Drosophila melanogaster: one gene and its partners. The protein of the gene in region 1 interacts with the protein of each later gene in a pairwise test. Each region holds a gene or a part of one and is shown in the gene's direction. Other genes may lie near its edges.

The links.
Region 2: the proteins of mTTF (region 1) and Rab40 interact in a two-hybrid assay, tested with the Drosophila melanogaster proteins (one large-scale study listed by BioGRID).
Region 3: the proteins of mTTF (region 1) and BtbVII interact in a two-hybrid assay, tested with the Drosophila melanogaster proteins (one large-scale study listed by BioGRID).

The regions. Positions count from the first base shown.
Region 1 is NT_033779.5:14,346,392-14,351,278, reverse strand, and holds mTTF (mitochondrial transcription termination factor), read left to right. Parts: upstream 1-2,488; 5' UTR 2,489-2,572; coding exon 2,573-2,981; intron 2,982-3,045; coding exon 3,046-3,626; intron 3,627-3,681; coding exon 3,682-3,924; 3' UTR 3,925-4,040; downstream 4,041-4,887. Other genes in the region: l(2)34Fc (lethal (2) 34Fc), read left to right, coding at 1,499-1,570, 1,640-2,047; Send2 (spermathecal endopeptidase 2), read left to right, coding at 4,625-4,887. UniProt on the Drosophila melanogaster protein: Transcription termination factor. Binds promoter DNA and regulates mitochondrial replication and transcription.
Region 2 is NC_004354.4:12,458,649-12,465,182, reverse strand, and holds Rab40 (Rab40), read left to right. Parts: upstream 1-2,070; 5' UTR 2,071-2,316; intron 2,317-3,021; exon of another isoform or gene 3,022-3,128; intron 3,129-3,310; 5' UTR 3,311-3,314; coding exon 3,315-3,447; intron 3,448-3,503; coding exon 3,504-3,727; intron 3,728-3,971; coding exon 3,972-4,194; intron 4,195-4,599; coding exon 4,600-4,817; 3' UTR 4,818-5,387; downstream 5,388-6,534. Other genes in the region: CG42258 (uncharacterized protein), read right to left, coding at 564-1,084.
Region 3 is NT_037436.4:3,146,876-3,152,421, forward strand, and holds the start of BtbVII (BTB-protein-VII), read left to right. Parts: upstream 1-1,770; 5' UTR 1,771-1,812; intron 1,813-1,824; exon of another isoform or gene 1,825-1,862; intron 1,863-2,026; exon of another isoform or gene 2,027-2,046; intron 2,047-2,257; exon of another isoform or gene 2,258-2,285; intron 2,286-2,752; 5' UTR 2,753-3,107; coding exon 3,108-3,278; intron 3,279-3,339; coding exon 3,340-3,967; coding exon of another isoform or gene 3,968-3,982; intron 3,983-4,052; coding exon 4,053-4,297; coding exon of another isoform or gene 4,298-4,309; intron 4,310-4,388; coding exon 4,389-4,497; intron 4,498-5,546. Other genes in the region: Usp5 (ubiquitin specific protease 5), read right to left, coding at 1-595, 657-1,170.

The DNA.
Region 1 (4,887 bases):
AAAAAAAACCTTTTCGGAAATGACATAGATAGTTTCGGTATGAATGCGAATTTCAAGCTTCAGCAGTTCTGTCCCACCAACTTGATAATAATAATATTTTCCAAGCCATTATAAATGTTGGCTAATTGAGGCCTATGGCCATAGCTCAGCGTAATGACATTAAACAACCATGTATTGAGATTTTATCTAAACAAATCGCCCAACCGGTTGGACAAAGGCCCATAAATACATAAATATACGGCTAAAAGTCGCAGAGGGAAAGAAATAAAGAAGCAAAACTTGGCTCCGACACTAACATGTCCAATATTGAACTTTAGCATATTGCAAGACAAATGGAAACTTGGCTTACGGGCCGGTCTTGACAAGGTCTTTTCGAATCCATGGCGACCCAAGTGGAGGAGGCCGACGATCAATCAGATCGGTACTTCGAACTCCACAAGCCTCCAATCCACCTTGAACCTGAGAATTCGATTTGAGGAAGTACTTAGGCTGTTGTCTTCAATTGTCACTTGTCATTTCTAGGCGATTTTTATCGCACGGTAAAAAAAAGAGTTACTCTTCTATGGAAATGTACTGCAAACTGGTTTGGCTTTAAACAGTTTTCGTTTACGTCCGAAAAACCAGTTTGATGATTTTTTAAAAATTGGTTTAATCAACATGCATCTTGGCCAATTTCAATATTGAACAAAGCTTTTGTCTGCGCCTTCTTAATTCTGCGAATCTGAAGATTTACGAGCCGATCGTGATTGAAATGTTAAGTTCACTTCGAGTGGTTTCCCGTAAATAATTAAAATGTTTTGATTGACATTTTTTTTCGGCACTAATACTGGTTATTACAAATCAGACAGTAACACTGCAGCCTAATCCACAAATCTTGTAGAATCACAGACTGTCAACAGTCAAGGCTGCAGAGAAATATACCCATTATGGCGACAACTGGGACCGAACAAACTGCATAATAAACGTTGGCGTTGACAAACTGCATAATTGGAGCTAGTTTTCAATATATTTGCGCCTGCCCACGTATACAAGTGTAAACTTTGAAAAGGAAAAAAAAAAAACTAAATAAATAAAAAACTTAAGCAAAGTCAAACTGGCCAAGGCCAGTGAAAAAAGTCTCACTTGAGTGGAAATGTTAATTAATTAATTTATGAAAAACTAGTTAACGCAATTAAGCAGCATGCACGAATCTAAAAATGTTAAACAATGACCGGCAGTAAATATATTTTAATATGTAATTGGATTCAACTTGAAAGCACTAGAAGTTGAAAGTAGAAACATTGACAAGTACTTGTGTCATTAAAACTTGTTCTGCTTAAGCATATTCGGTTATGGAAAATGGAAGGATTTCGCACACTCACTTGGTGCGCTTCGTCACTACGTGGACTGTTCTTCACAGTGATGTAGCATAATTAAGCCAACCAACTGGATTTTAATCGTTACTAAAGCGATGTTTCCAACTCATGTGATATTATTTTTAATTTTCCCTTAAACAGATATGTTCCGTTTGTTGGTTCTTGCGGCCTGCCTGGCCATCAGTGTCCACGCCTACTCCGATGGTGCTCCAAAGGTATGAACCTGCCCCATCGAAATACATGACGGATAGATTCCTTATATTCCCATCTTCATTATCCCAAAGGCCGCCTGTCGTGACCTGACGCCCCAGCACGGAGCCAAGCTGCAGGTGACCAAGCCGCCGTACAGCATCTCCGGACCCTCCCATGTGCGCTCGGATCAAAAGCTGACCCTGACGCTGGGCGGCGATGAGTTCCTTGGCTTCATGATCCAGGCACGCGATGGCCAGAACCGCGTCGTCGGCCAGTTCCAGGTGGTGGACTCCGTGCACTCGCAGACCTTGGACTGCTCCGGCAAGGACGACACCATCACCCATCTGAGTGCGCAAAAGGGCAAGCCGCTGACCGGCATCACCTTCGACTGGATTCCGCCAGCAGGCTACAAGGGCAACGTCAAGTTCATGGCCACCGTGGTGCAGACCGGATTCGTTTACTGGGTGGGTCGCGTCACAAAAGACATCGATGTGGAGTAGTGCTTGTGATAGATGTTTTCATGATTTGTTCAAAATCCTACAAGTCTTTGTTTAGCGTTAATGTTCCGATTAGCTTTGGAGCGTAGTATTTTTGAAAATAAAATCAAAAAGTTCGTTGATAAAATGGGAGTGATTTCAATTGTGGGACTCTCTGTCTAAGAATGCTTAGTAGATTTGAAAATAAATATTGGAAGTGTTTCACACTTATATTTAAAAAGTGTATGTGTATGTTATTGTGTATGAACCAGCACACTTCCTAAACATATTATGAAATCAATTGCACCTAGAAAAGTTATTATATTTTCCTAGAAAACAAATGCTAAATTTATTAAATTGCTGTTCCGAATAACGGTCATTATTTTCAAAACCGATAACGATAATTGTTTGAGTGTCGTATACTCCAGCTTTCAGTTGGCCCACTTGGTCAGCTGTTTATCGCCGCAACATATCAGCTGTTTTCCGCTTGTTTTATAAGTTGAAGAACTTTATTTTCTGTCTTGATTCTGTAAATTAAGCAAATTCGGGATGATTAGAAGCCTTCTGCGCAGCTTTGAGACGGCACTCAAGCTGCATGCCGGCTTAAATATGCACCCAATGCACTGCAGCAGGCGCCTACTCTTCTCGCAGTACGAAAACCGCGCCAGTCCGAGCAGACTGACCTCCAGTGGCACTTTAGGTAGCAACGAGGCGGAAAACGATTATGTGCCTTATCGCCAGGATCGGGAGACTGGAACCAAGACGCGGGTGCTCCTCGAAGCTCTGCGGGAACGTTTTCGCTTCACGGACGCTGAGCTCCAAAAGATAATCAGCGACGAGCTGGTGCACCGCTGCTACCGCGGTAGATCACTGACTCTGGTCATGGACACACTGCAGCTAGAGGGCGTTAGCAGGCGCAGCTTCGTGGAGTATCCTTGGCTACTGTCGCTGGACAATAGTAAGCTCATTTGCTTTATATCCTTTATGTGATTAAATCATCGGTTATTTGTTTATCTATTCAGAACGCTTGGAGCTAAAGATGCAGCTACTCAAGTCAATGGACTTTAAGGACATCAATCATTTTGTGCCTTTCCTGCGCCTCACTGTTCCACGTCTTCGAAAACTGGTGGGTGCTCTGAACTCTGAGAGGGATGCAATGCCACAGCGAAATCGTGTCTACTATATCAGCGAAAAGCTGGATGTCAGCCCCGATATTGTGAGCAAATATCTATCGAAGAGGCTGTTTATCCTGGAAATGCCGTTCGAGATGTTCGAAAAGAACCTGCAGCACATGATCGACTACAATGTGTCGCCAATAAACGTACTCAAGGATCTATGGGCCTTTCGCTATACTCCAAAGTCTGTTCAGTTGCGTTTGGAGCGCGCCAAGCGGGCGAAAAAGGACAAGATCATGCCGTGGATGGTGCGCTGCCCGGAGCCAATACTGCAGCGCTCCCTGAAGCTTTCTCTCGACGAACTGAAGGTTTTGGGAGAGTTCTCCTCCGTGGTGGAATACTTAGCGCATCGTCTTGGTTTCAGCACCAGTGAAGCCAAGGCAATCATGGACAAACATCCGCAGGTGCACACCGTGCGAGTTACCAAGGTAAGTCACAATGGGTTAACTCAAACAATCATAAGCTATACAATTTTGCCTTCAGATCAAAGAGGTGCTAGACTACCTACTCGATGAGGCCCAGTTTACCAGATTTGAGGTCGCTCAAAATCCTCGAATTCTATGCCACAGCCTGAAAACCACAAAGGAGCGCATGGAAGAACTGAAATCGCACGGTTGTCGACCCTCCTCTCTTGTAATTCTTTGCCGCAGCCGGAGGGAGTACGATAAGTTTTTGCAGAACTGGATAAGCCATGAAAGAAATCCGCAAAGTGTATCAGAAGGATGATGAACTGACGAATGACCTGATGCCATCACCGTGAAAGCTTAAAAAGTTGTTGTAAAGTTAAGATACTTTTTTCAAAAGTTTTGCCACGAAATTGAACACGATTAAAAGCCAATATTCAAAAAACGTTATTAATTACGACCAGGGGACCGCTGTTATGATGGTATCTTCATTTTTAAAGGACCCTTAACAAGTAAGGTTTCCATAATATTGTAAGGAAACCAATCAGGGAACCTTTTCGATTTCAATAGGTTTTTTAACCACCAGTCGGATTACTCGTCCTGCGGACAGAAAGTTTAGTTTGTTTAGTTTGGACGACTCTCTGCAGTCATTCTACCACTTCGGATGGCTTAATCAGTTGGAAATTTTCTTTCAACATTTATAAACGCAGAACAAACCAAATTGCAAACTTAGTTAATTAGAAAATTCCAGAAATGTTATTGCCCCTCCACATTTTCACCGTTAGCGATAAAAATTTCTTGAAAGCAAAAGGCAGCTAAATTATTTATGATGTTTATATTTAGCGAATGAAGTATTTTTCAATATTTTGATTGCTTTACAAGAATAGAGAATATTCTATATCTAGATACATAAACTATTACTGAGGTTCAAATAGAATATTGCTAACTGAGTTGTGTATAAAAGACTGGTTACTTTGGACGTGAAGCCACTGCAATTCAAAGTATCATACAAACTGGTCAAGATGTTCATCCAAAGCTTCCTGTTGCTATTGGCGCTCAATTCCCTGTCCGCAGGACCAGTAATCCGGCCGGAAGAACGCATTATCGGTGGACAACCCATTGGAATCGAGGAGGCACCATGGCAGGTGTCCATACAACGTGATGGCAAACATTTATGCGGTGGCTCCATTTACAGCGCAGATATCATCATTACTGCGGCCCATTGCGTCCAGGGCCAGGGATATCAAGTTCGGGCAGGATCCGCCTTGAAGAACTCCAATGGAAG
Region 2 (6,534 bases), on another chromosome or scaffold:
ACTCCTATATCCTTTCATTATAAACGATTAAAATATAAAAAGGATATTATACAAGATCAGTCTACTTAAGGCAGTAGACTCTAGCGGAAAAAGTGTAAGAGATTTCAAAGTATGTTTTCAAAAAAAAAAAAACAAAAAAAATTAAGACAGGAAACTTTCAGAAATCACGAACTTGTTAACTAGTGTTCATGTTACTGTCAAACTAAATCAATTTCATTTCAGGATAAATAATCGACAAGTAATCCCTTGAATACCTTTCAAGATATATAGCTGTGCTTTGTTGCGAGGCAAAATCGAAATTATAATCAATCGGTCAGGTTGCTTTTAAGTGATAATCACGAAATTAAAGACTTTCTAATACCTATTATAGAATTTTCGAAAATATAATGTAAGTTCCTTACTCTGGAGTTAAAATTATGGGAAAACTAAGAGACTTTAAAGATTGAATTATAGCTAATGAAGTAAGGAGAATAAGTACACTAACTAAACTATCACCAAGACAGTTGTATATAATGTATAAATTGAATAGCTTGAATAAGAGTAAGTAATTGTTGGAGATTTACCGTTTGAGGCCGACGCTTTTGGTGCCCAATTTGCTCAGTTTGCCGGGTTTCTTTTGGGGGCGTGGGAATTTATCGCTCAGATCGCTGGATATATCCTCATCATCAGCTGCTGTTGTTGCAGTTGTTATTGTTGTTGTTACCGGTTCTTCTCCTGTCGTCGTTGCTGTTGTTGCTGCTGCTGTCGCCGCATTGTTGTTGTTGCTGCTGCTGGCCTCGTTGTTTTTGCATTTGCTGCTATTCTTATTACTTTTATTATTAGCCATGTTTTTCGCACTGACCACAAGCGAACCATTATTGTTGTTGTTCACATTGTTGTTGTTTTGCTGCGTTGTTGTTGTGTGCACCAGTGGCAGCGACGTTGGCGGCGCAGCAGCAGCGACGCCGGCAGAGAATGCCGACGCAGGCAGCGGCGCAACAACAATCTCCTCGCTTAGCAAAAGCGTTCGCTCATCACAGTCGGCAGCGCCGCCGGCGGCGACGTCAACGTCGGCAGAGACGCCAGCAGAGCCGTTGGACAGCATTGCGGTTGCAGCAAAACGATTCGATTTCGATTTCGCGGCTAACGGTGCATTTCGAGGGGGCGGCGTGGTGGGCGGGGCCAGGGCCAGCATAGGTATATCTTTATATATATATATAGCTGCGCCACACACACACACAAACACTTAGTTAAATCGCAATTTGTGTGTGCAAAATAATGACAACCCAAAAAAAAAGCCAAACAAAATCAGCACTTGCACAAAGGCACACAAATATATATTTCTATATTTTTTTTAGCACAGTTAACGCGCACCTCTGTAAACAGTAATAACAAAAAAAAAAACAAGCAGCAACAGCTACCGCAACTGCGACGTCGACGGAGGCAGCGGCTGCGGCAGAGGCGTCGGTGACCTGCACTTTAGTTCCCGACCAGAAACTCGCGTTTATAAATAAATATATGCATGTGCATTTAATAAATCCGTTAGCGCGCGCTCTGTTGCTCTTGTCCTGCGAATTCGGATCTCGGATTTTTTCGGATCGGAGCGATACAGTCGGAACAATCGTGTGTGTATATTTGGCAGCGCTTCGAATTTCTGTTCTGTTCTGTTCCGTTTTGTTCGAACGCACTGGCGATGACACCCGGCCGATAGCGCGACTGTCCGATAAGCAGCACGCCAATTGCGATATCTAGATAGCTGCCTAGATAGTTTTTGTAAAGGTAAAAATCTAGGAAAAGTGCCAAACTATAAAGTATTTAATTCTTAAATTTCCGAAAATAAATAGTTAATGCATTCAGAATGAAAAATACTTAGTGGTAATAATATAATGTAGCATTTAGCTTAAAGTAAAATTGTTTCAATTTGATATATAAAAAGTTATGCTTAGATTTAGCACATAAATGTTTGCACAAAATAATAAAATAAAAATGTTTAAATTTCGCATATAATTGCAAGAACTACATTTTTAATATCTTGAACAACACTGCTTAGCCCATCCGTCGACTATCGATGGCTTATCGATATGCGCAAACTAGCAGTTCTTCCATCCCTATAGAGATGAGCGAAATTGCAATTTTCTGTTTTAATATTCGCAGCAGAAAAAACAACAAATAAACAGCAATAAATTGGAATATATGGGATATATAGCCGCGATTTAACTTGCTTAAATCGTAAGACTGAAAAAGCGTGTAAAGCCCGCCGAGGTGAAGTCGCCAAAGCGAGGAAACTCGCTCATCTCTATTACAAATACGAAAATGAAACTGCGTGCATTCTAAATGGTAAGTTAAACGTCCAGAAAAAACGGTTAGTGCTGTTCACTAAACAAAATACACAAATAACCGGCTATAATTAATTGTTTTCCAATTGCTGTGAGGAAAAGCAATAAACATTCCTCGGCATTTGCAGCAAAAACAACAATCAAAATAAGCACGCACACTAATACGCAAATGTTTTTCTCTATTTTCGTTTATTTCTCTTTTTGTTTGTAAAACAAAGTGCATAAAACGCAACAATTACACGCTTTAATGGTTTTGTACACTTCGATAAATTGTGAAATACATTTTCATGCAAAACCAAAACACACCCACTTTTTACCTGTGCGAATGTGTGTGTGCATGTGGAAAATCCTTTTACAGTGCGCGAAATGAAAACAAGTGCGAAAATCTATAAATAAGTGCAATGCTTATGTTTATAGTTTTTATTACCATGACTCACATAGAAAATTACTTTGTCTGCAAAAATAGAACGCACAAATATTGCCGGTTCAAAAATACCGGTTAGCCCGGTTAAGAAAATGCAAAAAAAAAAAACAATGTTTAAGAACCACAACCACTTTGGCCACAAAACCCTAGCCCACATTTAATTTCAATTAAAATTACGTAAAAGAAGAAAAAAAATGTCTCATTCAATGAGTAAACCCCTAGCGGTTATATTTTGTTAACTGAGTTATCTAAAAAAAAAAAACAAATTCTAAAATAGAAAAATGAGTGTGTAAGGTAATTTCCGGCATTCATATGGAACACTCTAGAGGAACTATGTATTTAAAAATACTTTGCCCTAGAAAATGTGTTGAGCTGCTTAAAAGTTTGAGGTACACACACCTTTTACAATCCATTTAAATATTCAAAAAACACGTCGTCACGTTTGTGACATCAAGTTCTAGTAATATGTAGAAATACCTTGGAAATTTAACTAGTTGCATTATTATTATTATTATTATTCAAATATATGTATCTATTTAATTACAATATTTAAATTTCTCTACCATGCCAGCCACATGGGAACCATGACCAAGGACTACGACTATCTGCTAAAGGTTCTACTGGTGGGCGACAGCGATGTGGGCAAGCACGAGATTCTCTCAAACCTGGAGGATCCCTCCACGGAGAGTCCCTTCTGCAGTGGGAACGGTAAGTGCTGGGTATATCCTTTGAACGACCACCGGATATGCAAGCCAATCTAATAGACTGCACATCTCATATCCTTCAAACGGTAGCCTACAAGACGACCACCATCCTGCTGGAGGGCAAGCGGGTGAAGCTGCAGCTGTGGGACACCTCCGGCCAGGGACGCTTCTGCACGATCATTCGCTCCTATTCGCGCGGCGCCCAGGGCATCATCCTCGTCTACGACATCACCAACAAGTGGAGCTTCGACGGTATCGATCGGTGGCTCAAGGAGGTCGACGAGGTCAGTTGGAAATTAAAAATGGGATTAGGAAAGGCAGCACATTGGAGAGATCTTTGTTACGACATTTTTACTAGCTGTAAATTAGTACTTAAAGTGTGGCTACTTATATTTTTACAAGATAGATTCACAATTAATACGACAATGCTGTAACGAAGATTAGATTATAGATTCCAATGTGTTTTCCTTTCTTGGTTTACCATTAATGCTTTCCATTATTAACTCCATATGTACGATTAATTTACAGCACGCCCCAGGAATTCCGAAGGTTCTTGTCGGGAATCGCCTGCACTTGGCCTTCAAGCGACAGGTGGCGGCCAAACAGGCCGAGACCTACGCCAGCCGCAACAATATGTCCTGCTTCGAGATATCGCCTCTCTGCAACTTCAACATCCGCGAGTCCTTTTGCGAACTGGCGCGGATGGCCCTGCATCGCAACGGCATGGAGCACATCTGGCGCAGCAATAAGGGTAAATATAACTAGGTTATTCAATGGGAGAAGGATAGTGCCTTTCGAGTTTAACGAACAGTAATTCATTATCTAGTTTGTGTAGACCAGGTTCAATTTCATTAATCTCTTCTATTTTTAGTTAAATTGTGAAAAAGTCATGACAAGGCCTTGAGGTCAATTTTGATTGAGCTCCAATTAAAGCGTTCATTATGTCAAGCCAATCATTAATCTTTTTCCGACCGTTGAATAACACTTAATCGCTATAATGTGTGAACTTTTGTTGATTCACAAATAACTAAAACTTATGAACTTATGAACTTATCAGATGAACTTTAGAGAAAACTCGAAATGCACTCTCCCCAGCAGAAAGACATGTATATTGTTCGTTAATTCACTTAGTAACCCACTTTGAATGCCATTGCAGTGCTGTCGCTTCAGGAATTGTGCTGCAGGACAATTGTGCGAAGGACGAGCGTGTATGCGATCGATTCGCTGCCGCTGCCGCCGTCGGTGAAGTCGACGCTCAAGTCATACGCGCTGACCACGTCCCAGTGCTTCAATTCACTGACCCAGAGCTCCAAGAGCAAGAACCGCTGCAAGACGCCGACGAGCAGCAGTCGGAATAGCTGTGCGATCGCGTGATCGTTGCCTTGTAGGCCGCCGCCCAGCCGCCTACGCCGCCACGCCCCTAACCGACATTAACTTTAATTGAGCTCTACTTATGTACTCTAGGCTATAACACACACACACACACACACACCCATACCATACCCATACCCATTACCATACACACATTCAACCCAGCTCTTTGGTTATATGTTTTGTTTTATTGACATTGATATTTGTGGTCAACAATGTTTACTTTTTACACAGTAAAGCATGCACCTTTTTTAGTTTTTAACCACCCCCATCCCAGGCCCATTCCCCCAACTTCTCTATTTTGCATTAATCTAATGTTGTTAATATTATTATGTTTGTATAATTCTAATATTTAATGCATCAAACACATCAACATATAAGAAATGAAAAACAAAAACGAAGAAATAACATCAAGTGAAAATCAACTTTTATATGGATAAAAAGAATTAAATTTTTTTTTTGTTTGTTTACCATTCGGATTAAAATATTCTTAGATATGTATTGTAATTGAAGCGAATTCAGCAAGAGAAGCACACACAAAGGCGAATTGATAAAAATAATTCATAATGAACTAGAAAACTGTGTTTTCATTTATTTGCCATCCCTTTCTGATTCCTGGCCAGCTGATTCCATCTCTTTCCATTTAGGTTTCTAATTTGTGGTAATTTAAAGTGAAAGTTCGCTGCATCTATAATAGGATCAGTCTATAAAATTATGCAACTTTTTTTTAAGTTTCTCTTGAAAAGCTGCGTTTTCATATTCATTTGGCATTTTTCTAGATGTTAATTCGAGTGTAATGTTGAGTAGAACCAAAACTAAAGTGGAAGAAAGTTAAGCGATTTCTTTGAGAGATTTCTTATATATATATCTCGAAAATTTGAAACAGTACTGAGATAGGGTTTTTCTGAAGTTAAAAAATATTTGAACAACGTTTGTTAGGATTTAACCAATGAAAATTATGCACATCTGCCACAACTCTTATTTAAGTAATATATTTGCATATATTTGGGAATATGCGGTTATTGCTTATAAATGATATAATTTTTATAATAATATGGAATATGGATAATATGGATTTTGGGCTAGAACCAAATATTTTCAAAAATTGCCATTGATATGTGTTGGAAAATGCCATCGTTTAGGCATAGGTATCTTTATAGCTAATGTATCTTGTATCTTTGAAGTATTCTTGTGCATTCATTTATTTTTATTTTTTATTACAAGATCATGAAGTTCCATAACTTTTGTAGAAACAATACCCTTTCTATTACAGCTTGAAGATCACTTGGGATTGCCGGTGTTTATATTCCTATCTTCCGCAGTCGATTTTTTGGGTTTCCAACATCTGCTTGGATGTTGTCCCTTGTCGGATGTGATTAATCGGTTGGCTGCAAACCCAATTTGATATTGTAATATTATTTAAATAACTCAAATTGCCTTTTCGTCGGTTTGCTTCGCATTGGATTCATTCGCCCTTTGAGGCAAAAAAAAAAAAAAAACATTTTGCGGCTTCTTTTTTTTTGTCGACATCTATTGCTTCCCCAGATTTCGGTTGTTTGGGCATTTTGCCTTTACACAACTCCCAAAATTGGGCAATCAAAAGGGGGCGGGGCTCTCGGGGGCAGTGGACTCGTTATACTTTAAACGTATCTACAAATTTCGAATGAAACAGCTGGCGGACTGAATGCGAAGTGATAGCGAAATTATTGCAATAATTTTC
Region 3 (5,546 bases), on another chromosome or scaffold:
TTGAAATAGCGTTCCGCTCCAGTGCCCACGAACCGCTGCTGGAAGTCTGGGATGACGAAGAGCACTTGCATCACGCTGTTTATGTAGCAGGAGTTGCCCAGATTGCGCATGCCAGTGTATCCAGGACCAGCAACAGGCTGCAGCTCACTTTCGCTCTCCGTAAGCGCCGTCCACTCGCCGATGCGCTGGTTAATGTCCAACTCTAGCTCCACCATCGACTTCTCGCTCTTCTTCATCGCCGCCATGTTGATGCCAAAGTGGGAGAGATGGCGCTCTAAGTGTGGATCGAGTACCATTTCATCCTCCGGGTAGGAGAACACATCCGACTTGCCATCAGCGGTGATGGTGCCCAGTTTCACCGCCAGCGGGAAACCCGTTACTCTGTAGTGCTCCACGGCGTGATCGTTGCCGCCACTGCCGTCAAAGAACTTGCGTCCGCACATGATCGAACCATCGGTCAGATTAAGCCAGAGGTTGTTGGTCAAGTCGCACTTCTCGCACTGCCAGCCGGATGGGGGAATCCTCTTGCCATTATCCAGCTGCTGCAGGTTATCTGCGTACTTCGACGCCTGACGCACTTCACCATCCCAGGTGCCTGAAAAATTATTGATTTTAGGCTACCTTCGTCAGCATGGGATAACAATCCTGCAACTCACCCATCAGCGTGGCCTTCTCCAACTTGGCAATTGCCGAGTCGGCGGCCAGGATCGCTTCCACCGACTGGGTGACACGCATGGGCAGCTCTGGATCCGGATAGGGCAGCTTCTTATCCAGGTGCGGAGCCACCACGATGCTGTACGTGTCCTTGATCTCGTACTTCTTGGCCATGTCCGACTCGTTGTAGCCGCCCTCGACGCCAATGGCCAGGCGGGTGATCTTCCGTTCCGGTCCTGCCTCCGACTCCGCGCATTCGGCCTCCATGTCGGCGCCCTCCTTGATCGTCTTCACCCGCTGGATGTGGAGGAAGACCCGGTTGCCGGTCTTGTCGGCATACTCCCGCACATACGCCTCGCCGAAGCCCAAAAAGCTGTGCAGGCACACGTACAAACCGGTGGGCGTCTCGGGATTGTCATAGGAGTAGACGCACTCGTCCTTGTAGATGGGAGGACTGCCCGCCCCGGATGCGCATGGCACGTTCACCTTGGATAAATGCTTGCGTAGTTCCTCCATAACGGTATCTGGAATCCTGTAGGCAGCTCTTTTCTCATAAACTTTACGGACCGAATGTAAAATAGTATAGTTGATTTTTTTTGCAGCTGCTGCTTAGAGATGAACATGGGAAAATGCATCGATACCGGCGAGCATGGATATGCGAATATCGATGGGTTGAAATGGTGTTTTACTGGTTGAAATCAGCTTTTAACAATTCTTACCCTTATTTTTGTACCTTATAACGGCTTTTGAGTGATATTTACGTATTTGGCCGCCCAATAAGCACAATTAGTTTAATTTGACTGCTGCAGGCTATCGTTGTTTATTCAATACTGTCATCTCTAGCCAAAGCCAACAACAAATTCGCGAGTCACCAAGGGAACCGAACTGGTTCCGTTAAGTACGAACAATGCGGGGAAAGTGTGGCAACGCCGATTGTGATTCATCAGATGTATAACCGAAGTCAACATTTTAAAACAACAATTCAAATGTTAACCATTTAAATACAATAAACAAATTATTTTAAAATTTGGGACAATCTTTAACAATTGGGATACTAGTTTTGATCTAGGACTGGTCACACTATTAAGCGACCTGTCAACTCGTTGTATACAAAGTTGCCATATAGTCACAAAAATCTTTCGCATAAAGAAGTAAAACGTAAGAATTTTCATATGCGTTTTTCGCCAGGAAATCCGCATTAAAATAATGTAAAAAGTGGTAAAAAAGTTGGCGCAAAGAGTGAGCCAGTCAAAGGCATTGAAATTCAGCTCGCTCTAACAGTTTTCGGCGTTGTTTTGCCCCTCGCATAAATTTGTTGCGCGCCATTTTGTTTTTGGAAAGCAAAAGAAAAAGAAGAAATACAACAGCAAAAACCTACCACAAAAAGTCAAAGTTTGTAAAAGCGATAAAAAGCAAGAGGAAAAGGAATTCTGTGGGGGGAAAAGCGAGTGAATAACATGTGGCGGCTTGGCTAGTTCGAGCATCATCTTTGTGCCTCTAAAAGACATACGAAAATAACGCGCGACATGCACATAAATAAATACGACTGAAACACTGAAAACTGAAAATATCGATACGATGAATAAACGAAGAAGCAGCGATTAGTACGTCGTCGGCGGTCGTCTGTGTGGGTGAGAGAGTGAGGAAGACGGGAATGGGGAAGGCGATTAAGTGCGAAAGAGATGGAGGAGCGCGGGGCGCGTATATAATTACGTCATAAGAATTAAAGAAAATTCAAGGTCTACAGCACTGCGGCTATACAAAAAGCTATACGATTTCGTTACGTTCTCGGTTTTATCAAAAATAAAACTTTGGCCAGTGAGCAGCAACAACAACAAGTATGGCTGTTGTGTTCCAGTGTGTGTGTGTGTTGTGTTTCATTTTCGCGACTGTATAATTACATACACACGCAGTCCCGCCGATGTTGTTGTTTCTGTTTGATTTTTTATTGTAAGCGAGAAGAGCGCGCAGCTGTGAAAAGCAGATGAGAGAGAGAGAGGAAGAAAGCGAGAGAGTGGAATTTGTTGTTGAGCAATTTGTGTAACCATCGATAATGTTTGATTTATTTAAACCCCATTTTTATTACCCCTTTTTGCAGTGACTCGCGATGCGTGCGGCATAGAAGTCGTCGCCCCCCAAAAAACCGTGATCCCGACCCCCCACACGCACACACACATGTACAGACTGCGATTGTTCATAAATTTAAATTGATTAAAAGTCGGAGCGAAAAAGTAAAGCGAACAAAACACCGGAAAGCAAGGAAAATTAATAAAAATCAATAGAGGCGAGCGGGAGGCGATAAAAAGTGTTATCAGTGCGAATTAATTGGCTACGAAGAAGGAAAGAAGCAGGAGGCGGAGGAGCGGGAGCAGGAGGAGGAGGTTGCTCCGGAGATTGAGGTTTAGGGAGCTCCAAATCCGCATCCCGGACGCGGATCCGGACCCCTCGACATCATGTCCGTGCAGCAGTTCTGCCTGCGGTGGAACAACCACCAGCCGAACTTCATCTCCGTGTGCTCCTCGCTGCTGCACAATGGCACCCTGGTGGACGTCACCCTGGCAGCCGAGGGTCGCCAACTACAGGCCCACAAAATAGTGCTATCCGCCTGCAGCTCGTACTTTCAGGTAAGTTGGAGATCGCCGCAGCGTATATCCCTTACGAATTACACTCAAATGTGTTCGACAGGCTTTGTTCACCACAAATCCGTGCCAACATCCCATTGTCATCCTGAAGGACGTGCAGTACGATGACCTAAAGACCATGGTGGACTTTATGTACTACGGCGAGGTAAATGTGTCGCAGGAGCAGCTGCCGCACATCCTCAAGACCGCCGAGATGCTCAAGATCAAAGGCCTAGCGGAGATGCCAACGGATCCGGCCAATCTTACCAAGTCGGATAGCAAGTCCTCCACCGACGGCACCGAGATGGTGGGCGGTGCGGGAGTGGGCACTGGAGCGGGCAACTCGGCTGGCAGCCTGGGAGCCGGCAGTGGAAGCAGCGTCGGCGACTCCCTGTGGAGCAGCAGCGAGGCCCAACAGTTCCAGCAGCAGCAGCAACAGCAGGCCCAGCAACAGGCACAGCAGCAGCACCATCACCACCAGCAGCAGCAGCAGTTGCAGCAGCAACAACAACAGGCGCAGCAGCAGCAACAACAGCAGCAGCACCATCACCACCACCATCAGCAGCAGCAGAGCGGACAGGCGCAGGCGGCGCAGACGCATCACCACCAGATGCGACGTACGCCGTCGCCTTTGAGCGCTGGAACCTCGCCGGCCACCAGGCGCAAGCGCTTGCGCAAATCCTCGAATAACGGTGAGTTGGAGTTGGGTAAAGCATCGTCGTGATAGATCCAAAATTGTAAGGTCTCAAAAAATAACCGGTTTTCGTAATAACGCAGGTTCTGGCGATCGCAACAACGCGGAGGAGCAGCACAACAGCTCACTGGACGCGGGCAGTGGTGCCGGCAACGCCGGTCTCAGTCTCGCCCAGATGAACCAGATGACATTTGGTGCGGGCGGCGGCTTGGCCGGCCACTCACTGCACGCGGCTAAGCTGCTCAAGGAGTCGGCCAGCGCTGAGCTAGAGCAGCAGCCGCAGGACTCGGATCTTGACGATGGACACGGACACTTACACATGCAAATTGTAATGAAATTGGTCACGTTAACCTTGTACCCTCGTCCGCATGAGCAAAGTCACTAATTGTTTTCTTTTTCTTCTCGGTGCCCACGTGCAGAAGCCCGAAGTCGACATTGGCGGCGTGAACCAAACGATGCCCTTGGACATCTCCGGCGGTACCACACCATCCGAGCACGATGCGCCGAACTCCCAGTCCTCGCACTCGGGTAAGTCGCAATTGGAAATCAAAAGCCAGCACACTGTTCCATCAAAGCTCATTGTTCATCGGGTAGGGATCTCATTCGCCAGGTTGGATTCTTTTTTTTTATCGTTTCTTAGTTTTGTTTGCCTTGATTACTTTAAAAAACACAAATCACGGACAACTTAACTGCAATTCGTAGTCAAAAGAAAGCTGACACACTATAGACTAAGCAGGAGTCAAGAGGGAAAACGTGTATAGATCAGAAATGACTTGACTTTTTTGAAACGAGCATGACTGAAAGAACATAGCTTTACAATGTTGGTATCATTTGCGAACTGACTAGGGGTTCACTGAACTGATAAGCACTGTCACCTATGTTCTCTTAAGCAAATCAATGTGAAATCTGAACCACTGTGTACTCTCGATTCATCGAAATAATGCCCACAATCATACTTCATCTGCATATCTCACACACGAACGGTGCCATTTCGAAACAATTTCAGTACACAGCGCTTGGAGAAATGAATGCTAAAGCTAAATATGAGATCTAGTATACCGATTATTCATTACTGATTTACCGACTAAGTGCAACGAAATAATTGTGAAATGCCGAAATTTTCTATGTTTAACTATTATTGTGTATTGTATTCCAAAAAACCGAATCCTGCCTGAACTTGGGAATGGGAGAGAGCTAGCACAAAGTCCAAAACAAAAACTAAAACTTCCAAAAACTAAATCTATGATTTGTTTTTCAATTGTTCATTCTCGATTTGCGTTTACTTGCGTTTTTTTGATTTTTGTTTTGTGGGAATTTCCAAAACAGCGGTTTCCGATGATAATGATTTAGCCTTAGCAATCTTTCCTCTACTACTTACCTCTATTGTACCTATCTAAGAACTGCCTCAGAACCTATAAACTGTCTCAGTACCAACACAACTGAACTAAGATCAAACCTGACCTGACCAGACTCAAACAGACCCAATCCCGATCCATTAGAGCTAGGAGAGAGCGATCTCAACTTCAATTTCGATCGAAATGCCCCAGTAACCAGTACCAGTAACAGAACCAATCTTT